Linked DNA regions of Canis lupus familiaris. The protein of the gene in region 1 binds, or shares a complex with, the protein of each later gene. Links are inferred from orthologs where the notes say so. Each region holds a gene or a part of one and is shown in the gene's direction. Other genes may lie near its edges.

Region 1 (2,189 bases):
CTACTTGTAGTTATCCCTAGTCATCATCTCAATGTTATTGGGACTCAGATCACCATCTTATAGTTCAATATCCCAATCTTCTTCTTTTTTTAAAAAAGATTCCAATAAATAAATAAATAAATTAATTAATTAATTAAAAAAAAGATTCCATTCATTTATTCATGAGAGACACAGGAAGAGAGAGGCAGAGACACAGGCTGAGGGAGAAGCAGGCTCCATGCAGGGAGCCTGATGAGGGACTCGATCCCAGGTCTCCAGGATCACACCCTGGGCCGAAGGCAGGTGCTAAACTGCTGAGCCACCCAGGGATCCCCAATATCCCTATTTTCTTAGATGTTCCCTTGAGGAAGGGGATCTGCATGTCTTAGAGGTGCTGGACTAGTGCCCTGTGAGTTTCTTGGAACTCTGAAAGTCTATAATCTCTACCAACTCCTCAGTTACTGCCTTTCATGATATGTTTAACTAATCAGGAAAGGGACAAGGAGCATAGACTGCAGGAGCCAGACAGACTAGTGTATTAATTTTCTGTAGCTGGGTAACAAATAACCATACACTTAGTGGCTTGAACACATACTCATTATCTCACGGTTTCTGTGGGCAGGCATTTAGGGATGGCCAAGCTTGGTGCTATGCTACAGGGCCACACAAGATTGTAATGAAGGTGTCAGCCAGGACAGAGTTCTCATCTGCAGGAGCCAATTCTACATAGGGACTATAATAACTTGGATGTGTAGATTTATGTATTTCATCAAATTTGGAAAGATCTGCTCACTATGTTTTCAAATATTCTTTCTGCCCCTTTCTCTTTCTTCTCTTATTCTGCAGCTCCAATCAGGTGTATGTAGGTACACAGGAAGGCATCCCATACATTTTTGTTTGTTTCTTAAGTTTCTCAAAGAGTGATCCTTAAGCCAGAAGCATTGACACCACCTCAGAAGTTGTTAGAAATATAAATTCTGGGGCACCTGGGTGGCTCAGTCAGTTGAGCATCTGATTCTTGGTTTTGGTTCAGGTCATGTTCTTGCAATCATGAAATTAAGTAAGCCCTGTGTTGGGGCTCCATGCTCAGTGGGGAGTCTGCTTTAGATTCTTTCTCCCTCTCCCTCCCACTCATGTGTTCTCTCTCTCTCAAATAAATAAATAAACAAATAAACAAATAAATAAATAAATCCTAAAAAAAAAAAAGAAATGTAAATTCTTAGGCCTTGTTGCAGATGTATTAAAGAAACTCTGGGGTCCGCTTCCACCATGGCGTACCGTGGCCAGGGCCAGAAAGTGCAGAAGGTGATGGTTCAGCCCATCAACCTCATCTTCAGATACTTGCAAAATAGATCTCGGATTCAGGTGTGGCTTTATGAGCAAATAAACATGCGGATAGAGGGCTGTATCATTGGTTTTGATGAGTACATGAGCCTTGTATTAGACGATGCCAAAGAGATTCATTCTAAAACAAAGTCAAGAAAACAACTGGGTCGGATCATGCTAAAAGGAGATAATATTACCCTGCTCCAAAGTGTCTCCAACTAGAATGAATGATCAGTGAAGTGAGAAATTCTTGAGAAGGCCACGTAGTTTGTTTTTTTAGATGTCCTTTGTTGGGAATATAGTTCTAAAACCCTTGTTCATATTGTTTTGATTACCTTTATGTTCTTACCAGAGGACAATAAATGCTGTGGGATTGTTTTTATTAAAAAAAAAAAAAAAAGAAAAAAAAAGAAACTCTGGGGATGAGGCCCAACAATCTGTGTGTGTGTGTGTGTGTGTGTGTGTGTACGTGCATGCGTGCATGTGTGTGTGTTTTAATTGAAGTTGATACACAATGTTATAGTAGTTTTAGGTGTACAACATAGTATTTGACAAGTCTACATATTATGCTATACTTACCGAAAGTGTAACTACCATCTGCCACCACACAACCCAATTACAATATCATTGATTGTATTCCCTACCCTGTACTTTTCATTCCCTTGACTTATTCATTCCATAACAAGAAGTCTGTACTTCTTACTCCCTTTTACCCATTTTGCCCATCCCCCTAAACCCCCTTTGACAACCACCAGTTTGTTCTCTGTATCTATGAGTCTGTTTCTGTTTTGTTTGTTCCTTCATTTTGTTTTTTTAGTTCCACACATAAGTGAAATCATATAGTATTTGTCTTTTTCTGTCTGAGTTGTTTCGTTCAGCATAAT
Region 2 (3,500 bases), on another chromosome or scaffold:
ATGATGTCCACTCTATACCGCTTGGCCAATCAGCTCCTGACAGACTTGGTAGATGATAACTACTTCTATCTCTTTGATCTGAAAGCCTTCTTCACGTCCAAGGCACTCAATATGGCCATTCCTGGAGGCCCCAAATTTGAACCTCTTGTTCGAGACATCAACCTCCAGTAAGTTGGAGATACTAGGGATTATAGGCACCTCGGATTGAGTAAAATCTAATCTTGATCCTTGAGATGCCATTGTAGTTTCCAAACTCCCCAACTAGTCTGCTCATCCTTGATAATGTACCCTAGGGATGAAGACTGGAATGAATTCAACGATATTAACAAGATCATCATCCGGCAGCCTATCCGCACTGAATACAAGATTGCTTTTCCCTATCTGTACAACAACCTTCCACACCATGTCCACCTTACCTGGTGAGAGCTAGAGCAAAGGGGGAGAGGGGGGAGAGGATATTGGGCCAGGGCAGGAGAACCTGAGTTTATTACTCTTCCTTTATTTTAGGTACCACACTCCTAATGTTGTGTTCATCAAAACTGAGGATCCTGATCTCCCAGCTTTCTACTTTGATCCTTTGATCAACCCAATTTCTCACAGGCACTCTGTCAAGGTAAGACCTTAGTTCTTTTTTCTTTTTTTTTAAGATTTTATTTATTCATGAGAGAGAGAGAGAGAGAGAGAGAGAGAGGCAGAAACACAGGCAGAGGGAGAAGCAGGCTTCATGCAGGGAGCCTGATATGGGACTCCATCCCAGGTCTCCAGGTTCAGGCCCTGGGCTGAAGACGGCGCTAAACCACTGAGTCACCCGGGCTACCAAGATCTTAGTTCTTTGAAGAGAAATTTGCTGACTGTAGCTGAAGTGTTACTAAATAAAAATTGAACTACCTATTTAGTGTTCCCTTTGAGCTTTGATATGTCAGTAAAGTGCTTGGTTTAAACTAAGTTATTTGTATAATCTGGGTTTTTGTGATTGGGACTTTCCATATAGTAATTTCAGGGCTGTTTGCATTATGAATTTTTTCCAATCCTTTTATTAGATATATTTATTAGTTCACATACCGTACAACTCACCCATTTAAAGTTTATAATTCAGTGGTATTTAGTTTATTCACAGAGTAGTTTAGCTATATCCACAGACAATTTTCCAACCTTTTCATCATCCCAGAAATTCCCATACCATTAGCAGTCGCTGTTTCCCTCCCCTAGTCAACTCCTAGTCTTTCTGTAGATTTGCCTCTTCTGGAGGTTTCATATAAATGGGATCTTTCAGTATGTGGTCTTTTGTGATTGGCCTTTTTTTTTTTTTTATTTATTTATTTTTTTTTTTTTTGGCCTTTTTTTTTTTTTTAAGAGTTTATTTATTTATTCATGAGAGACAGAAAGGCAGAGACATGGGCAGAGATCTAGGCAGGCTCCCCACGGGAACCTGATATAGGACTCGATCCCAGCACTCTGGGATCACGCCCAGAGCCAAAAGCAGACACATCCCTCTGATTGGTTTGAAATAATGTTTTTGATGTTTACCCATGTTCTATAGTGTTCTTAACAGACCTCCCTACTCTAGCTTAGTTTTTGTGTTTACTTAACATATTGGGGCTCCTTTGGGAGGCCTTTGGTGGTGAGCCCGTTAGGGTGTGATGCTTGCTTTCTGCTTGGCCCTAGCTTGTTCTCTACTCCCTTGGCCCTTTTTGCCCTGGCCCTTTAGGGCTTCTCTTGTCTGGCAGCCCAGTTTCCATGGTAGATGGCACCACTGTGCTCAGCCCCAGATAATTTCCCTCTCATCCCAGTTCTCTGTTCAGTTCAGTGGGAGCTGAACCCTTGGGGGTTGTTCTTTCAGAGCCAGGAACCATTACCTGATGATGACGAGGAGTTTGAACTCCCAGAGTTTGTGGAGCCCTTCCTGAAGGACACACCCCTTTACACAGACAATACAGCCAATGGCATTGCCCTGCTCTGGGCCCCAAGGCCCTTCAACCTACGCTCTGGTCGTACCCGCCGGGCCCTGGACATCCCCCTTGTCAAGAACTGGTAAGACTAATACCTGGGGAGATGATAGTAGATGTATAGGAGAAAAGAATTCCAACTGGGTTGACATTCAGTCTTTACCAGAGGGATTAGAAGGAGAAATGGGCTAGCTCTGGTTGGCTAATTTTCTCAGGTATCGGGAGCATTGTCCTGCTGGGCAACCTGTGAAAGTGAGGGTCTCCTACCAGAAACTTCTTAAGTACTATGTGCTGAATGCCCTGAAGCACCGGCCCCCTAAAGCCCAAAAGAAGAGGTAAGGTGCCTGAGGGTCATTGCTCAGACTTCTTTTGTTCCAAATTTAACCAAGAAGCTAATTCTTACTTTTCCACTTATTCCCACCCCAGGTACCTGTTTCGTTCCTTCAAAGCTACCAAATTCTTTCAGTCCACAAAGCTGGACTGGGTAGAGGTGGGGCTTCAGGTTTGCCGCCAGGGCTACAACATGCTCAACCTTCTTATTCACCGAAAAAACCTCAACTATCTGCATCTGGATTATAACTTCAATCTTAAGCCTGTCAAGACCCTCACTACCAAGGTGTCTGCATTGTACTTTAAGGGTCTTCTGGGCTTGAGGGATGGACTGGTTTTGCTCTGTCCTCTGAGGAAGGCATACATCCAGTTGGGACCATTACTGATCAATGTTTGTTTGTTTGTTTGTTTGTTTTTTCTATTCTTGGCACCTTCTCCAGGAAAGAAAGAAATCTCGTTTTGGAAATGCTTTCCATCTGTGTCGAGAAGTTCTGCGTTTAACCAAGTTGGTGGTGGACAGTCATGTGCAGTATCGCTTGGGCAATGTGGATGCCTTCCAGGTGAGGCCAAGTATCCCTGATCCCTGCCCTAGGTAGGGAAGCTGAATGAAGCCTAAGCTGATCATGGAGCTGGCTCTAGCTTAAAGCCTGATGGAGTCATTGTGTTGCAGCTGGCAGATGGGTTGCAGTATATCTTTGCCCATGTGGGGCAACTGACGGGCATGTACCGGTACAAATACAAGCTGATGCGGCAGATTCGCATGTGCAAGGACCTGAAGCATCTCATCTATTACCGCTTCAATACGGTTGGACCCTGCCCTCATACTCTCACTTTCTTCATCCAGTTTGTTCATTTGTTCATTCTTTCATTCATTCATTCATTCATTCATTCATTCATTCATTCATTCATTGTGTTTGGAAGGCAGAGGGAGAGAAAAAGAATCTTAACTAGGTCCACACTGAGTGTGAGGCCTGATATGGGGCTCAATCTCATGACCCCGAGTCTCAGATCCATTTTAATTTTTATGTCTAGTCAGCGTTCCTTCCGGGGACCAATTTAGAGAAAGGTTCTGAGCGTTTCATTACTTGCCCTCACCTTATTAATTGTAACACTTTCCATTGAAGCCTGCCTTTAAATAGAGAATCCCAGTTACTGGTTTCTGTGTTAGAATTTCTCATTTATTCCATTTTTGATGTTGAGGTCCCAGAGTTTTGCCTCTTTGCC
Region 3 (3,969 bases), about 93 Mb from region 1:
ATATGCACGACGGCCAGAAAGTGGAAACAGCCAAATGTCAGACGATGGATAAATGAAATGCACACACTGGGTGACGGGCCCTGAGGGGGCACCTGACGGGACGGGCACGGGGTGTTATTCTAGATGTCGACAAATTGAACACCAACAAAAAATAAATGTATAAAAAATAAAAATAAAAAAATGCACACATGCGTATGATGAAGTGGTAACCAGCACCGAGGACCGAATCCTGACGCCCGCGGACAGCGCGGCCTGGAGAAGGCAGTCCCGGGCGATGTCCCGGTCGGTCTCCGCTCGCACGAACTGCCCGGGGCAGGCGGGGGCAGGGAGGCGGGCGGGAGTCCGCGGTCGCCGGGGCTCAGGGACCGCGGGGAGTGGGGACGACCAGCCGACCGCGCTCGGGCCTCCCCCCAGCAGGACGGGAGCTGCCCCAACGGAGACCGCAGTGGCGCTTCTACGACCCCCCGGGGCTGCAGCGCGAGGACCCCACAGGACGTGGGGGATCCTCCGTCAGCTTCTTGACAAAAAGGACGCGCCCGGAGGCGGACGGGGCGACGGGCGACAAGGGCCGTGCGTGTTTCACACGGTGACCCACACCTTAGCTGGTCTTCTGCTGACGCGGCGACCGCACAGCGGGGCCTAGTCTGCCCTGACCGCCCCGGGGACGGCTGTGCGGTGAGCAGGACGGGCCTTCCCCAGCCCGTCACGTCACGGTCCTCGGCCTGTCCCGTGTGCCGGCCCCGTCCCCCGGCTCCCAGCGCTGCTCCCCGCCGGGACCCGAACCGCACCTCGCAGCTCCGCTCGGCCGGCTGCCCTCGTCACACCCCCAGGGCACGGGGGCGCCGCGGAGAAGCTGGGTCGCTCCGAGGGGCCTGACTGGGGCTGAGAATCAGGCGGCAAAGCCGGGCCCCCCGTGACCGCGGCGACACCTCAGGAGACCGACCCCGCGGGGTCCGGGGGCCACCGGCCGCACCGCCCGGGCGCACACGGGAGCCCCGGCTCGGTGTCCCTCCCTCCCGGCGCCGGGCGCGCGCGGCCCCTCGTCGGCGGCCACGCGCACGCGCACGCGCACGCGCACGCTCACGCTTACGTCGGGCGGCCACGCGCACGCGCACGCGCACGCTCACGCTTACGTCGGGCGGCCACGCGCACGCTCACGCTCACGCTCGCGTCGGCGGCCACGCGCACGCTCACGCTCGCGTCGGCGGCCACGCGCACGCACCGACCGGCTCGCGTCCCCGCCGGGAAGGGCTGCCGCGCGGGAGGCTGCGGTCGGCTGAGGTGCGGGCGGACGGAGCGGGGAGCGGGGGCGAGGGAGGCAGGGGCTGGCGTCTGCGGGGCGTCCTCGCGGCCCCGTTCTCCTTCCAGGGGTAGAGCTTGACAGGGGCCGGGGCCGGGGCCGGGGGCCGGGGGCAAGGTCTGCGGGGGTCCCAGGCCCTCCCCGCGGCGGGACCGAGGGGCACGGATGGGGGCGACCCCGGGGCCTCCGCACCGGGGACTGGGTCTGCAGGGCGTCCCCTCAGTGCCGTCCCTCTTCCAGGGGTCGGGGGGGTGAGGTCTGCTGTGGGACCCAGGGGCGCGGGCGGGTGCGACGTGCAGCCCTTGCCCGCAGTCGGCCGCAAGGAGCCGGTGCGCACAGTTCCCGCAGGTGTGCCCGCAGGTGTACCCGGAGCCGCCCCGAGATGTCGTACATGCTCCCACACCTGCACAACGGCTGGCAGGTGGATCAGGCCATCCTGTCGGAGGAGGACCGCGTGGTCGTCATCCGCTTTGGACACGACTGGGACCCCACGTGTATGAAGATGGACGAGGTGCTGTACAGCATCGCGGAGAAGGTAACACAGCCCCCCGCCCAGCGTCAGCCTAGGAAGCTGTGGTCTTTGGTTTGCCCCGTTTGCTAGGTGGCTGCAGGGTTGGAGTGAGGTGACCGCGTGCAGGTCCTCCTCTTCCTCCAGGCTGCAGAGGCGCAGCAGGGTCCAAGGGCCTGACCCCCGCGTGGAGGCTCCAGGCCTCAGAGGGTAGGGTGCGGCGGGCTCAGGGGGCCTGACCCTGTGCCCCGAGGCTACGGTCCTTCCGTGGGAGCAGTGTGTCCCTGGTCTCCAGGTTTTGAAGGGGTTCATGGTGCCACCTCCACGGAGCTGGGAGCAGCACACCTAGGGACTTCGTGGAACGCCATTTTAGCCAGGTAGCTGCACAGGATTGCCAGTTTTTGGTGCTTTGCTCCCTGTGTGTGGGAGGCAGTCGTGCCTGTCAGGGGAAGGAAAGCCTGTTCTCCATCCCGGTCTTTGTGCCCTAAGTGCACTCCTAGCTCAGACGTGCTCTGGGAGACTTGCCTGGTTGGACCCAGTCTGGGTCACCATGCTGGCACCCTGGCTTGTCGGAGGCTCTGTTGGCAGTTCCAGAACCAGCAGCACCTGGTGCTCTCCTGTGGGCTCTGTGGGCTCATTTCAGGAGAACTTTCATTTGGATGTGTAGTTGTAGCCAATTCATAGATTACTTACTGATATTCCGTAAATAAGGAGAGGTCAAGAGTAATGGAAACATTAAAGCCATGATTTCTTTCAGAGGAAGAAGGGCTTAAGATAGCTCAGTACATGGTAACAGGTGTAGGGACAGATGTGTCTGGGAAAGGCGAAGTCTCGGGGGTCAGAGCAGGACCCCACATTGAGGTTAGTTCACTAACAACTATCTGACCTTCCACTGCTACTTTTTCTGATCTCCTGTGTGGCGGGAGAAGCCAAGCGAGGCCGGGTGGTAGCACTGGGAACCGTGGAACTGTGGAGGCCGTCTTTCCGGTCAGTCACGTGAGGATCGCTTGGAAGACTTGCTCAGGTGCACCTCCGAGGTTCTCGTTCTGCAGGTCTGGGGTGAGGTCCACACACAGCTCTGCCCAAAAGCTGCCCTGGGAATTCTGAAGTGGCTTCCAAAAACCACTTGGCAGAGTTCGGGATCAGAGTAAGGGTGCTGGGAGACTGGCCGTTCCCTTTCTCTTCTTGGGGAGCCTGAGGAGGTGCCTGGGGAGCTCGGGAGAGCTGCGGCGCCAGTTTGTCGCGTCAAAAGCAGACACTGCTGTGGTCAGTGAAGAACCACCTCCAAGCACTTTCCTGAGAAACACCATTGCTGCTCTGTTGACCTTGAAATAACGTAGGGTGTGTGTTCTGAATTGTGCGGGGCATGTGGGGGCATAAACACCAGGTGGTGACCAGCTCCTGCTGCCCTCGGTGCAGGGTCAGGATGGTTAGAGACGGGAGGCTCCTTTGGCTCTTCATACCCAGGCAAAACCCAGCAAGACGCTCTTCTTTGGGAGACAGATTTTGTGTTAACCTGAGCTCTTAGGGACTTTCAGCAAGTTGTTTGTTCTTTTCCCATCCCTGTGTGTCAGCTGTAGGCTGGACTGCGGGATCACTGAGGAACGCACTCTGGGATCGAACCTACTGATAAGAACAGTTTAGTTGGGCTCACTTTGAGTATTTGTCTTTGTTTTATCTTTAAGGTACTTTTTCTTTGGTCCAAAAATTTGGATTTCTGTTTTAATAAACTTTTAATATTATATAGTACAGTTATTAGAAATGCAAACTTGAAACTCATCACAAGATAATTGTTTTATTTTCTTCTGTGTAAAGGCAAAACATGAGTTTATAATTCTGGAAGTCCTTCTTGAGCTCAACAGGAATTTTTGAAATTTAAAGTTTTAGTATAAAGAACAACTTAACTATCTAAAAATCTCCCTCTGCAGAAATGGCAGATAGTGGGGGATCTTCCTCATCCTGTCTCGAGCCCTGTTTGGATACCCCAGCTGTTTTAAAGTGAGTAAAAGTTCCACCGTTTAGGCTGGACTTGATTAGATTGTTTCTCCGGGAATGTGGTGTGTTGACTTGATGCTTTGATGGTGCCAACCATCATGAGGCCACCACCTCATGCTGTATTAGTTTTGAGCTGCCCTGAAAACATGGGAGGTAAGCTTAATGA
Region 4 (3,500 bases), on another chromosome or scaffold:
GGACATCAGCGATGAGGGTGAGGGGCCTGTCCAGCCGGGGCAGGGTAGGGGTGGCAAGGGCCGGGCTGAGGGGCCCTGGGCAAGGAGGTGATCTGAGCAGGGCTTCCCTTTGTTTCTTTCAGAAGAGGCTGGAGGACCACAGTCAGGGTCCCCAGAGGTGCTGGAGGAGGATGAGGCAGAGCTGGAGCTGCAGAAGCAGCTGGAGAAGGGGCGTCGCCTGCGGCAGCTCCAGCAACTCCAGCAGCTGCGAGACAGCGGTGAGAAGGTGAGGGGGCCCAGGAGCTGAGCGTGGGGTTGGGGGCATGCTGACCTCCTCAGGGCCAGGGCCTTTAGGGACAGGTGTGTCCATGGTGACCTGTCCTCAGGAGCATGGCACCTTCATTCCAGTTTGGAACTCTTTTGTGTGTGTAATGTCATGTTGTTAGCAGATTTCTTTAAGATCAACCAGTGTTTTGCTCTCAAGATATTTTAAAGTTGGAGCCTTCCCTGTCTTCTTTCCTTCTATGGCTGGGTGTTGCATTCCTCCTGGGAGTAAGGATTGTCCCCGGGGGTGGGGGTATCACTGGTGAGCAGGACAGCGAGGGGCCCTGTGTTCTTGGAGCTGCCTCTCTAGCTGTGGCCTGAGGGCAGGGTAGCAGTAAGCGTGTGTGCACATGCGCACACAGCACTTCTGGTAGCACCTGGAGCTGGGCAGACCGTCTGTGGAAAGCGGAGCAGATGGCTGGAGGGCTGGAGTCTTGGGTCTGCTTTTGAGGGGAGACCTTGCAGGGGATGGCATTTGAGCTGAGACATAAATAACAACGAGGAGCCAATCTTGCAGAGATTCAGGGTGGAGGTGGGTGGGCAGACTGGGCACTCAGGTGGTAGAGACAGCAGGTGTCCTTGGGAGGAGTAGCCTAGAACACTTGAGGGCCTGGCAGTATGAGCCGGACAGAGGCCAGTGGGGCCTTATGGCCATGACCACTGTTGACCCTCAGTGGGCACTTGCCTGGGCCAGGCCCTGCTTGCGTGCTTTGTATATCCAGTGACTTGATGTTCACTGCAACACCTTGTGAGGAAGGTTCTGTTATCTCCGTTTTATAGATGAGGAAACTGAGGCATAGAGGCCTTAGGGAAGTGACCTGGGGTTACATGGCTGGTAAGTGGCAGAGCTGGGGTTTGAACAGCCTGACTCCAAAGTCCACGCTTTTCACCCTACCCCTCCCAGCTCAGGGGGGAGAGACTGGAGCAGTGGCCCAGCCCGTGGGGGCTCCTGCTGTGGGGTCAGAGAAGCAGCAGCCCCTGAGCTGGAAGAGAGCCATGGGAGTGGGTGGCACAGCAGCCAAGTAAGGCTTTTGAGGAGGGGGAGTAGGGAGTCCTCTAATTCCTGAGAGGCAGGTCCGATCTGGAATAATAGAGTCAGCAAGACTGAGGAGGTAAGGAAGCCAGGCCAGCAATTGGGGACAGTCCCTCAGAGCGAGAGCAGGTGGACTGTGCGAATGTTGGAGGTGCAGCGGCGGGTGGTCTCGGCCTCAGTGACCCAGGTGCTCTGCTGCAGCAGGGAACATGGCCCTGGATGGTGTGGTGAGTGGGCGTGGCTGTGATCCAAAAAGGCTTGGTTGGCAAGAGCAGGTGGTGGGCTGTATGCTGTCCACCGCTGCTGCAAAGAGGGTCAGAGAAATGGGGCGGTAGCCAAAAGGGGTGTGAATGAGGATAACCAAGAGTGCAGAAGTCTGTCCTTGTGGAACTTTTGTTCTAGTGAGAGGACATGAAAGAAGACATAAACAACATCCAGTAGGAAAACCACTGTGAGCAGAAACAGGAAAAGGCCAGGTAGTGGAGAGATGAGGAGTGAAGAAGCGCTCCCGTTTTAGGTCTTCTGGTCAGGGTGGGCTTCCCCGAGGAGGTGACCATTGAGATCCAGATGAAGTGTAAGTATCAGTGACATCTAAGGGCGCAGTCCAAGGTGAGGGAACACCTGGCCCCTGAGACCCTGAGACACGAGCCACTGGGCTTGCTCAGGAAGTTGGCTGAGGCCTGCATGGCTGCAGGGGCAGGAACCCCAGGGAGTGTTACAGGGAAGGAGATGGTCACGGGCCATTCAGGCAGAGACTTGCTGTTGCGGTAGATGTAGCCATCAGAGTTCTGTCTTTGGAGGAAAAGCAGTGGAAGGCTGTTGCAGACATCCAGTTGGAATGACGTCGACTGTGATGGTAGCCGCAGAAACAGGAGGAAGTGGCTGTATTTGGAATGCATTTTGAGGGTAGAATCAACAGCGCTCATTTGTAGATTGTGTGCAAGATTGTGAGTGGGTACAAGAAGTTAAGGATGACTCCCAAGAATTCTGACTTGAACAGCTGGCCTCTTGCTGAGTTAAGGAGAGGGTAAGGCCATTCCTGAGATGGGAAGAGCTGGGGAGATAACAAAATGTTCGGTTTTGGTTAAGTCTAATAAAAAGTGCTTTTCTATTAGGGGTATTTGATACTGAACAGGCAGTTGGATATGTGAATTTGAACTTTAAGGGAAAGGCTGAGACTGGAGTTATAAATGCAGAAGTCATTTAAAGTCCTAGGATCAGCTGGAGTCATCAGGACGGTGAGTGTGGAGAAGGGAAAGTGCGTGAGGGTAGCCAAGAGGAGAGGGTCATGTGACAAGGTCCTGAGTCACGTGACAAGTGGCTCTTGAGAGGAAGCGTGTAAGCATCTGTGACGCATGCTCCAGAGAACTTGGGTATTGGGGATGAGCATTGACCTTTGGATTGGGCAACATGGAGGTCACTGATGGTCTTGTCTAAATCGTGGTCTTTTGGGGTGCGGTGGTGGGAACTGAGAGCCAGACCACACAAGTTTCAGCAAGGCTGCCAGGTATAAGATTACCAGATAAGAGCCAGTTGTGTTTACACACACCAACAAGAGAGAGAAAGTATAACTTTAAAAAAGGTACTGTTTGTGAAAGCAGTATAAATAGTAAAGTAGCATAGATAAGTGATAACAAAATGGATAAGAGAGAGGCCGATTGCAACAAAATAAAAAGGAATAAATGATGTGTGAGATAGGGATCCCTGGGTGGCGCAGCGGTTTAGCGTCTGCCTTTGGCCCAGGGCGTGATCCTGGAGACCCGGGATCGAATCCCTCGTCGGGCTCCCAGTGCATGGAGCCTGCTTCTCCCTCTGCCTGTGTCTCTGCCTCTCTCTCTCTCTCTCTCTCTCTCTCTCTCTGTGTGTGTGACTATCATAAATAAATAAAAATTAAAAAAAAAGATTTAATGATGTGTGAGATAGATCTCTATGGGGGAAGTTGCAGTCCATCTTTGAAAGACATTGAAGAAGACATAAATAGATAGACTGTGGTTTTAGGCAGCTAGGGCTGCCGTGACAGAATGTCACAGACTGGGTGGCTTAAGCAGCAGAAATTTACTTCTCAAAGTTTTGGAGTCTGGAAGTTCAAGATCAAGGTGTTGGTAGGTCTGGTTTCTCCTGAGGCTTGTAGGTGGTTGTCTTCCTGCTGTGTCCTCTTATGGCC
Region 5 (4,114 bases), on another chromosome or scaffold:
TTTTATATATTTTGAACACCTCCCCAGAACTCTGTCACTTGGAGTTTAATCAGCTTTCCATTAACACTCTCTTGCAGTTTAAGTGATTTATTGATGTGTCTCGGCTATGGTGGTTATGGTTTCAGGACGTTTCAGCCGTTGGTCTTTTAAGAAACCCTTTTCGCTACCAGAGGAGCCATGCTACTTCATTGTGTTTGATATTCTGTCCTCCTTAACCAGTATCTTTTTTCTTCAGTTCTTCCACCTTGGCAACATAGATCCTCATGGCATCCATCTTGGACATCCCTTTATTCTGGTTCCATGCCTCCCACTTGGCCTTGGCTTTCACATCTGTAGCAGGTGGGGCAGGGATGTTGCAGTCGCCTTGGGTGGCCTGTTTGTAGAAGCTGTACACCAGTAGCTTCTCCTGATCACTCACAGGTCCCTTCAACTGCTTGATAGCAGCACAGGCCATCTCAAACTCCACTTGGCACATTGGGGGTGCTGAGGCCCAGCCCTTGTGTCCTTTCTGGGTGATGGCTGGCACTGGAAGCTGGAGGATGGAGAATTAGAAACACTGGAGGCTAGTGATTAGGTCTGGGAGGAAGGGAATGGGAGCAAAGAAGACAGGGTAATGTGTGAGAAGAACATAGGATGTTTGTGTATGTGTTTTCTCAGGAGTCAAATGTGTTTTTATAAAGTACAGATTGGAAACTAAGGCCCACTGGAATGGATCTCCGCCACTATTGCTCTGGATAGCAAAGTGCATTTTCTGGGGAGGGCAACCAGTAACATTTCAAAGGTGCCTTTAATGCCAGAAAATTAAGGATGCTGTCCTCCCGTGAGAAGGAAGTGTGCTGGGGGGGCGCTGCGCTGTGCCGGGAGGAGGCCTTTCAGAACCGCCAGTCTGTGCTAGTTAGTGGGCGGCCTGGGGCGGGCGTTCAGTGCGGTGAACCTTAAGCGCGGGATCCCGAGGGTTACTGGATGGAAGCGAACGCGGAGCCGAGGCGGAGCTAGTGGGGTGATCCCGTGGGGATGATCCCCCAGGGCTGCGCTGGGCGGGGCAGAAGCAGGGCAGCGGCGCGGGCCAAGGGGAAGGTGGGGACCGCGGCTTGGGGGCGGGGCGGGGCGCGCCCGGCCGAAGGGAAGCGCGGGTCCACTTGCCGGCTGGCTTGGCGGAGGCCTCGGCTGGTAGGGGGCGCTGTGGGCCGGGCTGCTTGGGCGCCGCGGACCTGTTGGTGGGCTCTGCGCGTGCGCGCGGCGCGGCGGGAGGCCTGCGGACGGCGGCGCGGAGCCTGAGCCGAGATGGTGGGCGGGGGCTGAGGCGCGGCCCATTGTCCCGCCCTCCCGGAGCCGCCCATTGTGTCGTGGCGCCTGCGTCTCACTCGGAGCCTCGGGGGGAGGGGCGGCCCGCGCGACCCGCAGCGTCGCCGCCATGGACCTAGGTGGGTGTCGCCGCTCTCGGTCCTCCGCCCTCGTGGTCTGCGTCCCGCACCAGGCGGCCAGGGCGGTGCAGAGCGGGCCCGGGCTAAGGGAGACCTCCGGGTCGGGGAGGGCTCGGGAGGGCGGGGGTGTCCTCCGCGGCCGGGATCGGGAGGCCCGGCGCTGCCGCGGCGCCGCCGCCCCTCCACCCGCGGCTTGCCCCCCGCGGGGCGCCTTTCCACGTGAAGGGCCAAGCGGATGTGAGGTTAGATTTCCTCAGAGTGGACAGTGCTCGTGCACGTGCTTTGGAAAATGCAGGCTCAGAAGGATACACCGACGGTTTCGCTTAGTTAACCGCTGCTGAGCTCTTGGGCAAGCGTCCTCTGCCATGAGGTCCTCATCGATAAAACGGGGGTGACGATAGCATACCCACCACACACAGTTGGGGGCGTTTGATTGAGAGCACGTGTATACAGGGTCGGGTAGGGTGCCATGCGCGCAGCTAGTTCAGCCGACCGGCAGTTGTGGGGAGGGCCGAGGAGCCGAGGGGGCACGTTTGATTCAGAATCCTCACAGGCAGAGCCTGGGAGAAGGGAGCGGGGAGCTAGTATATGGTGACTCCTGTCCAGCCTCCCACCCTGCCGGTCATGCAGGAGGCTGTTCTCAGAGAGCTGAGGTGAGGCACCCCAAGGTGTGCCAGTAACAGGCTGTGGAGAAATGTTGTAGTCCTGCCCCCAGCCACGGCTTCAGTGGTGCAACAGTAGAGCTCAAGAGCTTGGAGCCCTGGAGCTGTGGTGATTTCCGTCCCAGGCCCCAACTACACTATAGTTGGGACATCCTGAGCAAATTTTTCTGAATCTCAGTGGTCCCATCTCTGAAACAGAATGGTTCTCAAAAGGTTGAGGATTAAAAGAGCTCTTGCACAGTGCCTGGCACGGAGTAAGCGCTTAATAAAGTTTTGGAGTGGGCACCTACAAGCCTGTTATCCAGTTGTGATAAAAACACTTGGGATTTGCCCAGCTATTCACCAATAGCTCCTGGGACTTACTCCTTCTGGTAGCACAATGAACATACTGTCTCTGGAATAATAGGTTTTGGGGGACAAACATCTCAGCTGAGCTGATTGTGCAACAAAATTAAATTTACAGAGTCATAAGAGAACATATTTTGGGGGCCTAGGAGAGCAGCCTGAACTAAAAAAAAGAAAGAAAAAAAAAAAAAAAGCCAGAATCCCCAGTGAGACCTGTCAGCAATCTAATCTTCCTGGGAGTCTGCCTAGGCCACTAGGAGCCAAGGTGGATTGCCTTCACCAGTTGGTTGCATAGGAGTGCTGATCCTTTGGCCTTTTGCTGCTCTCTTAAAGTTGAAGGGCAGGATCATTTTTAGTCTCCTAAATCAAGATTCTCTCTTGCTGGCTCCTGGGAAAGATATGTACTTGGGGGCATGAGGGAACGAGGAATTGGGGGCTAACACTGAACAACTAGCTCAGTACTCAGGGTGTGACTAGTATATCGCACTTGATCCTCCCAGTCTAGTATGAAGTCTGTGTTCTCCCCACAGATGCAGAAGGGAAGCTCAGAGAAGCTCTAGCTTCTAGATGGCTGAACTAGGATTTAAAGCTGTGTCTAATTAAACCTCCCCAGATGCCTTCCTTGATAAGTGTTGATTCAGGGCTTACTGGAGAAGAGACTTTTCTTTCCTAATCTACTAAGTATATTTTATGTCTACCTCTTGGTTTCTATGAGAGAACCAGAGCATTTGGTAGCTTGTTCTATTTGACAGAAAGAGCTGTGGGGTAAACTGTTTCCCTGAAAGGCAGAACATTTGAAATTTGTAAGAAGACTGTAAGACAAAAGGGGGAAGGCAGGGCTTGTTTGATTGCTTCTGCGGCCTCAGCCCTGGCCCCTCCCTTCTTAGGCTGAATCATGATTCAGAAGCTTGACTGCCATGTTGCACAGTACGCACCCTCTGTCACCCCTCCTCTCCACCTCCTCTGCTGGCCCATCCGTTACTGGAGCGCCTAGCCCTTTCCTTTACACATGGTTTTCCTGCAGAATCTCATTCACTTTGTTCGTTCCATTGATCCCCTCTAGGCAGACCCCTCCCTGAGTCACATCTCAGGGTTGACTCTCCTCTTGAGCATCAACCCCACATTTCCATTGCTGGAGGACATCTCTCTCTTAATGTTCTACCTCAAACTCCAAATAACCAAAACTGAACAGTGTTCCCCCCAAAGCTGTTCTGATTCTCTTCCTCCAGTGATAGCCATTGTCTTCTAAATCCAGGCTAGACTTTGAGAGTCCTTTATATTCCTTAGGTAAGTCCTTTTGATTCCAGCTCTACAGTGGCTAGAGCCATCTCTTCTTCCCCATTAGAACCCTTATCATCTCTAACCCTGGTGATGACAGCCAGCCTACCAACTGATGTCTCTGTCTAGCCTCTACTAACTATTTTAAAGATTTTTCACCACACTGTCTTGTGCGGCTTCTTTCTGTGCAGGACCTTTGAATATCTGTGAAGAAATGACTATTCTGCATGGGGGCTTTTTGCTTGCCGAGCAGCTCTTCCACCCCAAAGCACTGACAGAACTGACAAAGTCTGACTGGGAACATGTTGGGCAGCCCATTGTGGAGGCCCTAAGGGAGATCTCCTCCGCCACAACATGCTCCCAGCCCTTTGCCTGGAAGAAGAAAGCTCTGATCATCATCTGGGC
Region 6 (3,500 bases), on another chromosome or scaffold:
ATCTATTAAGATATAAAATAATTCAAAACTTTCTTTTGTATGTCAACCATATTTCAATAAGAAAAGAGAAAAACCTAAAAAATTCTTCTCTTTGCCAATACTTAGCAGTTTTGTTTTTGTGAGATTTTTTTCTTAGTCATTAATTGAAATATTAATGTTATTGAGCATGTAATAGAGTAGGTGCCATTTGTTGAGTGGACACATTCTTTTGGCCCCAAGCTGCAAGGGATTTTACACACATTTCCTCCTTTAAAGCCACTGAGTTGGGGCATCCTGGGTGGCTCAGTGGTTTAGTGCTGCCTTCAGCCCAGGGTGTGATCCTGGAGAACCAGGATCGAGTCCCATGTCGGGCTCCCTGCATGGAGCCTGCTTCTCCCTCTGCCTGTGTCTCTGCCCCCCCCCCCTCTCTTTCTCTCATGAATAAATAAATAAGAAATCTTTAAAAATAAATAAATAATACCACTGAGTTGGGTTAGTATTATTTTTCTCTATTTACAGAGAACCGAGTCTTAGGCAAGTTAAATGAATTGTCTAGGATGGCATGGTTTATAACAGACCTCAGCTTTTTCATTTCTCAAAACTCCCATTTGTACCCACTACAGAAATACTGAATAAGCACTGGAGGAAGACAGATGAACCAGACACAACCCCCTGCCAGAGGTTACAGATTACCGGTTCTTCACCTTTGCAAATGTTTTATCAAACCCTATAGTTTGTATTGTTGGGGGTTTGGGTTTGGGTTTGGGTTTGTTTTTGTTTTTTTGTTTTTTTAAAGCCTTGTTGTCTTACATGGTATTTCCTTAATTCCCCTGAACTTGTTCTCGTGCACCCTGATGTTAAGAACTGGATCAAGTATGCTCGCTTTGAAGAAAAACATGGTTATTTTGCCCATGCACGGAAAGTGTATGAGAGAGCTGTTGAATTCTTTGGAGATGAACATATGGATGAACACCTTTATGTTGCCTTTGCCAAATTTGAAGAAAATCAGAAAGAAGTAAGTACACTTGAAGAGCTCAGTTATATTGCAGAACAGTTTAGGAAAGAATACTTGTGCACATGGAGTTCATTCCATTTTCTTATTCACTTATCCTTGGAAAAAATGTTTCCAGAATCTCTCAGAGAACAGCACACATGTGGCTTAGCTGCAGATTGGAAACTGAGCAATTTACACATTGTACTAAAGTGTCCTAATTGTATTGTCCTTTTTGAAAATTCAGCTTTCATATCTATGATGAGAATATTGTATGTAAACTGAAAGTTCATCATTTGCTCTCCTCATAAAAGGGCTTTACAGGTAATAAACCTGGAGAACAGAAACCTTTAGAACAGAGAACAGAATTTGAATGAAAACAGAGGTTTCCCCACAAATAAATCGGTTCTGATCTTCCATAATATATATGGAAATAATCCCTTAAAGTAACTCAGATACTACAGGATCGAGAGAGATGGGCTAAGGTCCAAATACAGGGTCAGGCCAGTGGGAATTATGAAGGGTTTGAAGCATAAGAGTGGTAGGATGTGATTTATATTCTAAGGAAGGCCTCTAGCTAATCCATGTAGACTGTATTGGGGAAAACGATGGTGAAAATGGAAGTAAAGGGACTTTTGAAGTGGTTGCGGAAGAAATGGAGATGGTTTGGGGGTGGGGGGGGTACAAAGAGCCATGTTGAAAAGGTAGAGGTGGCAGGGCTCTTTGAGGTAGTGCATGTGGGGAATGAGGACAGGAAAAGAGTCAAGGAGGACTCTTGGGGTTTGGGGCTCGAGCAAGTGCATGACTGTAGGTATTGCTTACAAAGACTGGGAAGACAGAGAGACCCAGGTTTGATGGTGAGAAAAAGGAGGTCAGTTTGGGACCTTTTTAGTCCTAGATGCACAGACGATACCCAACTGGCAGTGTTAGGTAGACAGTATTAGGCGTGGAGCTCAAAGAAGAATATTGGTGTGCCCCAACAAATACCTCAACAGGAGGGAGAAAAAAGTCTTTTTTAGGACATTTTGAAACCACACAATCTTACAGGTAATATATTATGTCATAATTACCTTCCAAGTTGTTGCTAGGGTGAGAATATTGTGTTGAGAAGTAATCCTCCTATCTGCTTTTAGTTTGAAAGGGTACGAGTGATCTACAAGTATGCCCTGGATAGAATTTCAAAGCAGGAGGCCCAAGAACTCTTTAAAAACTATACCATCTTTGAGAAGAAGTTCGGTGATAGGCGGGGTATTGAAGACATCATTGTGAGCAAACGAAGATTCCAGTATGAGGAAGAAGTGAAGGTGAGTGCTGATGCGGACGCTGACCCCTGTAGGTAACAAACATGCTGACCAATAGCAGCTACAGTGAAGGGAAGAATAGCAAGCAAGGACTCCCAGGGATCATGCTCTTGCTGATACGTCTGCAGTAATTGGCAGCCACTGCAACAGGAATCAGCAGGGCTCATAGAAAAGGCCAGCAAGCAGCGCTTGGGTTTGCTCTGCCACCAACATGTTGAAAGTCACTTTGCTGCTTGCTGATTGTGTACCGTAGAACTTGAGCAAATACTGGGAATCCATTTGAACTCATTTCTGAAAAAGATGGACGAGTCAGAGATTGAGCCAAATAGCCTTTGTGCACTACCTTTTAGCTTAACTGCTTGAACAAAAGATGTACTGTAGATATGGTTCTCTTCTCTATCTGTGATGTACTATTTTGTTTCAGATTCAAAGGCAATAGTGTTTCACTAATCTGCTGTGTATCTTAAAGCTTTTGCTAAGTCAAATTAATTAGGATATTGCCAAACAAAGGACTGGGTCCTGTGTTAAATGAGGTCAGTAAGATATATTCAAGATAAATGACTTACTGGAGAAGGCAGATTTCACATTTGTGGCCATGGTTCTGATTGCACTGTAATTTTAAATCTAGACATCATAATGATAAGCAGTCACATATATAAACAAATACATTCATAAAACTAGGCATCTGATTATTGAGTAACTATCTTGAGGGTGGTGGTTGTATATGAAAGCGGCCTTGCCGTGGGACACCTGGCAAATAATCTGTCCTCTATGTTCCTTTTTCTTTTCTATTTATAGGATCTCAGGAACAGTATTTTTAAATGAGCTAGTATGTGAAATCTAGAAAAACAGTTGCTAACATACAGTCAATCAAGGGTGTTCTTTTTCCTCACAGAATCCAGTGAGTGTAGCTCTTGGTTTGATTTTTATTCATTAAACTTAAACGGTCTTTTAGGCTAATCCACACAATTATGATGCATGGTTTGATTACTTGCGCTTGGTGGAAAGTGATGCAGAAGCAGAAACCGTTCGAGAAGTCTATGAAAGAGCCATCGCCAATGTGCCACCCATTCAAGAGAAGCGGCACTGGAAGCGTTACATCTATCTGTGGGTCAACTATGCACTCTATGAAGAATTGGAGGCCAAGGTAAAAAGTGGACTTCCGCATCAGCTATTGATGGCTGCGTCACCTCTGCGGGTATAAGTCTGCTGTTTTGGGTAGCGGTGGG
Region 7 (3,500 bases), on another chromosome or scaffold:
TATTAACAAATATATTCTACATTGTTTCATTTTAAGAACCTAAGGAAATCAGTGGTCACACCTCTGGTATTAAGAAAGCTCTATGGTGCAGTGAGGATAAACAGATTCTTTCAGCTGATGATAAAACTGTCCGGTAAGTAATTTTTCTTTAGTAATTTAAAGTTTGAAACATTTGACCTTAGTGCTTATATTTTAAATATTTCTCATAACTGTATGTAGGAAGAATTATCTCTATACATTGAAAGTTAAGTTGTACATAGGTCACATTTTCTTGGAGCTATCCATTTACTGTTATAAACATAGAGCATAATCTACAAGACACTGAATTAAAATTATTGACATCTTTATAAGCATGTGCTCTTGACCTGAAGTAGTGGACACACTGGCTACAGGAGGTCCATGAAACTCCTGAAATTCTATGAAATTTTGTGTGCTGACACCTGATGTTTTTTTCTGTGGAGAAAAAACCCCAATCAGATTTATAAATACAGAATTTAAGAACTGTTATTTAGAGTGACACTAAAATTGCTAAGATTAAAACCTTACATGACTTTTAGCATAGTTTTGCCAAGAGAGGTATTTTTAAGTATAAGTTAACTTTACCAACAAGATACCAAGTAATTTAACATTGTATAGGAACCCCAAATTTCTCCATATCATCTATAATTTATGAGTTGGAATGGAGGAGGTTTTACTACAATTGTGATTATGCTTTCATTGGTTAATCTGTAAATATAATTGGGAATTAAGCTTTTTTCTTAAATAAGCTAATTATCACCTTATTTTCCTCTTCTTTTGCAGCCTTTGGGATCATGCTACCATGACAGAAGTGAAATCTCTAAATTTTAATATGTCTGTTAGCAGTATGGAATATATTCCTGAGGGAGAGATCTTGGTAATAACTTATGGACGATCTATTGCTTTTCATAGTGCAGTAAGGTATGTCCAAGAAATACCTTCCCTTTTTTTTTGGTAACTTAAAAATTGGAAGGCAGAAGTGAAAAATATATAACTCTTTAATAAGGCAAATCTTGACCATATTATATGGGGAAAATGTTTCCATACCACTAATAATGTGTATTTTAAGAATTTGATACACTAGGGAATTAATCTAATTATTTCCAGTGTTTAGGGGAGATTTATTGGTAAAATTTAGTAACTTTTAAATTTTCTTTTTTTGATTATATTTTTCTTAAAAGGATCTCTAGACTGGAATTATACTTAACGTTCATTACTGTATAAAGCTACTGTGATCTTGATTCTCTTATTCATTTTCCCTTTAACATTTTAGAGAAATAGTGATTTTTTTTCTTCTATTCCAAAGTTTGTATAGACCTAATAATGTTTTTTAAAAACAGACGTAGGGGATCCCTGGGTGGCTCAGAGGTTTAGTGCCTGCCTTTGGCCCAGGGCATGATCCTGGAGTCCTGGGATTGAGTCCCATGTTGGGCTCCCTGCATGGAGCCTACTTCTCCCTCTGCCTGTGTCTCTGCCTCTCTCTCTCTCTCTCTCTCTCTCTCTCTGTCTCTCATGAATAAATAAATAAAATCTTTAAAAAAAAAAAAGATGTAATTTTTTTGTGACTGTAAATATAGTAAATGCCCTTGTTGAAAATTTGGGAAATATAATTTTTAAAAATTTACCCACTGTTCTTCAACCATAGATGCCAGAATGTTAATGGTAGTTGTATCTTCCATTAGTTTTTTTTCTTGGTTACACATTTTTTCTTCATTATACATGTGTAACATTATATATGCATGTATTTGTGTGGGTATTTTTTTTAATTACGAGGGCCCTATAAGTGTAATTTTGATTTTTTATTTTAAACTGTTGTTAGCTATTCAAAATTGTTTGAAAATACTTAGGTTTTACTAAATTATGTATCAATTTCTCTGAAAAAGCTGATGTGAAAACTCACTGATATTCATGTGAAACTATTGGTATGCATTGATTTTTATTATATAGCTATAGTTTCAAATTTGGTTTTTCTTTCAAGCTTGATAGCAAAGATGGAACCATCTTTAGCAGTTTTATATTTTTGTGATATTGAAGGTTTTGTTTCAGAAGCTTATAAATTCTCAGCAGTTGAGAATAATGTACAAATAGTGTTTTATGTTAATTACTATAAAACATTTTCTCAAAGATAATGTGTAGTTGTCATGGAAAAATCAAACAATACAGAATTAAATTTCTTTCAGGGCAAAAATCCAGATATATTAACCATACTGTTGTGAATTAGCCACCACAGTCATTTCTAGGGAAGCGTTCATTGTACAAAGTGTACTTGTATTCCTGGAATGAATTCCACTTGGGCAGAGTATCCTTCTGGACTTTTGCTAATATTATTTAGAGGTTTTTTTGTTGTTGTTGTTGTTTTTTTAACATCACTATGTTTGACTAAATGAAAATATAATTATTTCTTGGGTTTCAGGAATTAGGAACAGTTTAAAAGTACTCTTTCCTGGTATTGTTTATGCAATATTGAAAATTCATCAATATTATTTAAATCATTTTTCAGTTTGGACCCAATTAAATCTTTTGAAGCTCCTGCAACCATCAATTCTGCATCTCTTCATCCTGAGAAAGAATTTCTTGTTGCAGGTGGTGAAGACTTTAAACTTTATAAGTATGATTATAATAGTGGAGAAGAATTAGGTGGGTTGTTCTCTTTTTCCTCCCTTAAAATGATGTGGTTACATTTATCAATGCTGGATTTCAGTAATACCTCAGTTAACAAATTTTTCAGCTAACTAAAACTTTCTATTTTCAAGTGAAAAAGGATTTTTTTCCCACTCTGGATAGAAGTATTTATAGAGCTATAAACAAAGCATGCTAAACTCTCAATTTTACCTTTTCCTTTTAACTTAAGTTCATTGTATTCAGATATTCTATACAGTAGTGCAGTGTATTTATTTGAGGGAAGGAGGAGGCAGGCAGTCTTACGTCAAAATCATGTTAAACAGATGTAAGAGTATTTGTTCTTTCTGAAGTATAATGCTAATATGTAGCTCATCTACCTGGCTTCCCTTTTAGCCAATGTAAAAATCTCTAAGCTCTATAGAGAATAGTGTAGACAAAAAACAGTTATGGTGTATTATAGGGATACCTTAGGGATCTGAATTGGAGGGGATTTTTGTTTGGTAGGGGTTTTTTTTTTGTTTGGAGTCTGACTTTTGCTTCCGTTTTCATAGTAGTCCTTCATAAAGGAAGGGGAAGGGCAGGTAAGATTAATTTGAAGTTAATCTACATCCTAACTTTACATTTATCTGATTGACTAGCTATTTTATAATCATGGTTCTCAGTATCTACTTTTAGCCTTCACAGAATTTCTTTTTGAACTAGTGTATTTAGTCTTTTTCTGTAAGCTGCTACTTGTTTCTAGCTGCCTTGCTTTACTACCCAATGAAATTAAGCTTGTTAGAATTATACACAAAGAACAAAAGACAACTATATGTTTTGTTTCTTTAGGAAAACTGATAGATTTGGGTTGGATAAATGGA

What was found.
Region 2: small nuclear ribonucleoprotein E-like (region 1) and PRPF8 share a complex: the UniProt entries of both Homo sapiens proteins name them as parts of the U4/U6-U5 tri-snRNP complex. The link is inferred for Canis lupus familiaris from reciprocal best matches to the Homo sapiens genes SNRPE and PRPF8.
Region 3: small nuclear ribonucleoprotein E-like (region 1) and TXNL4A share a complex: the UniProt entries of both Homo sapiens proteins name them as parts of the U4/U6-U5 tri-snRNP complex. The link is inferred for Canis lupus familiaris from reciprocal best matches to the Homo sapiens genes SNRPE and TXNL4A.
Region 4: small nuclear ribonucleoprotein E-like (region 1) and SART1 share a complex: the UniProt entries of both Homo sapiens proteins name them as parts of the U4/U6-U5 tri-snRNP complex. The link is inferred for Canis lupus familiaris from reciprocal best matches to the Homo sapiens genes SNRPE and SART1.
Region 5: small nuclear ribonucleoprotein E-like (region 1) and GEMIN4 share a complex: the UniProt entries of both Homo sapiens proteins name them as parts of the SMN-Sm complex. The link is inferred for Canis lupus familiaris from reciprocal best matches to the Homo sapiens genes SNRPE and GEMIN4.
Region 6: small nuclear ribonucleoprotein E-like (region 1) and CRNKL1 share a complex: the UniProt entries of both Homo sapiens proteins name them as parts of the minor spliceosome. The link is inferred for Canis lupus familiaris from reciprocal best matches to the Homo sapiens genes SNRPE and CRNKL1.
Region 7: small nuclear ribonucleoprotein E-like (region 1) and STRAP share a complex: the UniProt entries of both Homo sapiens proteins name them as parts of the SMN-Sm complex. The link is inferred for Canis lupus familiaris from reciprocal best matches to the Homo sapiens genes SNRPE and STRAP.

The regions. Positions count from the first base shown.
Region 1 is NC_049222.1:93,813,216-93,815,404, forward strand, and holds small nuclear ribonucleoprotein E-like, read left to right. Parts: upstream 1-1,229; 5' UTR 1,230-1,248; coding exon 1,249-1,527; 3' UTR 1,528-1,689; downstream 1,690-2,189. UniProt on the Homo sapiens protein: Plays a role in pre-mRNA splicing as a core component of the spliceosomal U1, U2, U4 and U5 small nuclear ribonucleoproteins (snRNPs), the building blocks of the spliceosome.
Region 2 is NC_049230.1:45,766,922-45,770,421, reverse strand, and holds part of PRPF8 (pre-mRNA-processing-splicing factor 8), read left to right. Parts: coding exon 1-167; intron 168-293; coding exon 294-419; intron 420-507; coding exon 508-613; intron 614-1,840; coding exon 1,841-2,031; intron 2,032-2,161; coding exon 2,162-2,281; intron 2,282-2,372; coding exon 2,373-2,562; intron 2,563-2,716; coding exon 2,717-2,836; intron 2,837-2,946; coding exon 2,947-3,081; intron 3,082-3,500. UniProt on the Homo sapiens protein: Plays a role in pre-mRNA splicing as core component of precatalytic, catalytic and postcatalytic spliceosomal complexes, both of the predominant U2-type spliceosome and the minor U12-type spliceosome.
Region 3 is NC_049222.1:688,547-692,515, forward strand, and holds the start of TXNL4A (thioredoxin-like protein 4A), read left to right. Parts: upstream 1-1,169; 5' UTR 1,170-1,281; intron 1,282-1,639; exon of another isoform or gene 1,640-1,648; 5' UTR 1,649-1,682; coding exon 1,683-1,835; intron 1,836-3,736; exon of another isoform or gene 3,737-3,806; intron 3,807-3,969. UniProt on the Homo sapiens protein: Plays a role in pre-mRNA splicing as component of the U5 snRNP and U4/U6-U5 tri-snRNP complexes that are involved in spliceosome assembly, and as component of the precatalytic spliceosome (spliceosome B complex).
Region 4 is NC_049239.1:51,806,163-51,809,662, reverse strand, and holds part of SART1 (U4/U6.U5 tri-snRNP-associated protein 1), read left to right. Parts: coding exon 1-17; intron 18-122; coding exon 123-265; intron 266-3,500. UniProt on the Homo sapiens protein: Plays a role in mRNA splicing as a component of the U4/U6-U5 tri-snRNP, one of the building blocks of the spliceosome. May also bind to DNA.
Region 5 is NC_049230.1:45,008,207-45,012,320, forward strand, and holds the start of GEMIN4 (gem-associated protein 4), read left to right. Parts: upstream 1-1,314; 5' UTR 1,315-1,414; coding exon 1,415-1,424; intron 1,425-1,684; exon of another isoform or gene 1,685-1,794; intron 1,795-1,964; exon of another isoform or gene 1,965-2,077; intron 2,078-3,900; coding exon 3,901-4,114. Other genes in the region: diazepam-binding inhibitor-like 5, read right to left, coding at 212-532, 1,144-1,314. UniProt on the Homo sapiens protein: The SMN complex catalyzes the assembly of small nuclear ribonucleoproteins (snRNPs), the building blocks of the spliceosome, and thereby plays an important role in the splicing of cellular pre-mRNAs.
Region 6 is NC_049245.1:3,686,294-3,689,793, forward strand, and holds part of CRNKL1 (crooked neck-like protein 1), read left to right. Parts: intron 1-815; coding exon 816-994; intron 995-2,040; exon of another isoform or gene 2,041-2,103; coding exon 2,104-2,274; exon of another isoform or gene 2,275-2,562; intron 2,563-2,837; exon of another isoform or gene 2,838-2,874; intron 2,875-3,226; coding exon 3,227-3,418; intron 3,419-3,500. UniProt on the Homo sapiens protein: Involved in pre-mRNA splicing process. As a component of the minor spliceosome, involved in the splicing of U12-type introns in pre-mRNAs.
Region 7 is NC_049248.1:15,362,699-15,366,198, forward strand, and holds part of STRAP (serine-threonine kinase receptor-associated protein), read left to right. Parts: intron 1-36; coding exon 37-133; intron 134-801; coding exon 802-939; intron 940-2,518; coding exon 2,519-2,655; intron 2,656-3,500. UniProt on the Homo sapiens protein: The SMN complex catalyzes the assembly of small nuclear ribonucleoproteins (snRNPs), the building blocks of the spliceosome, and thereby plays an important role in the splicing of cellular pre-mRNAs.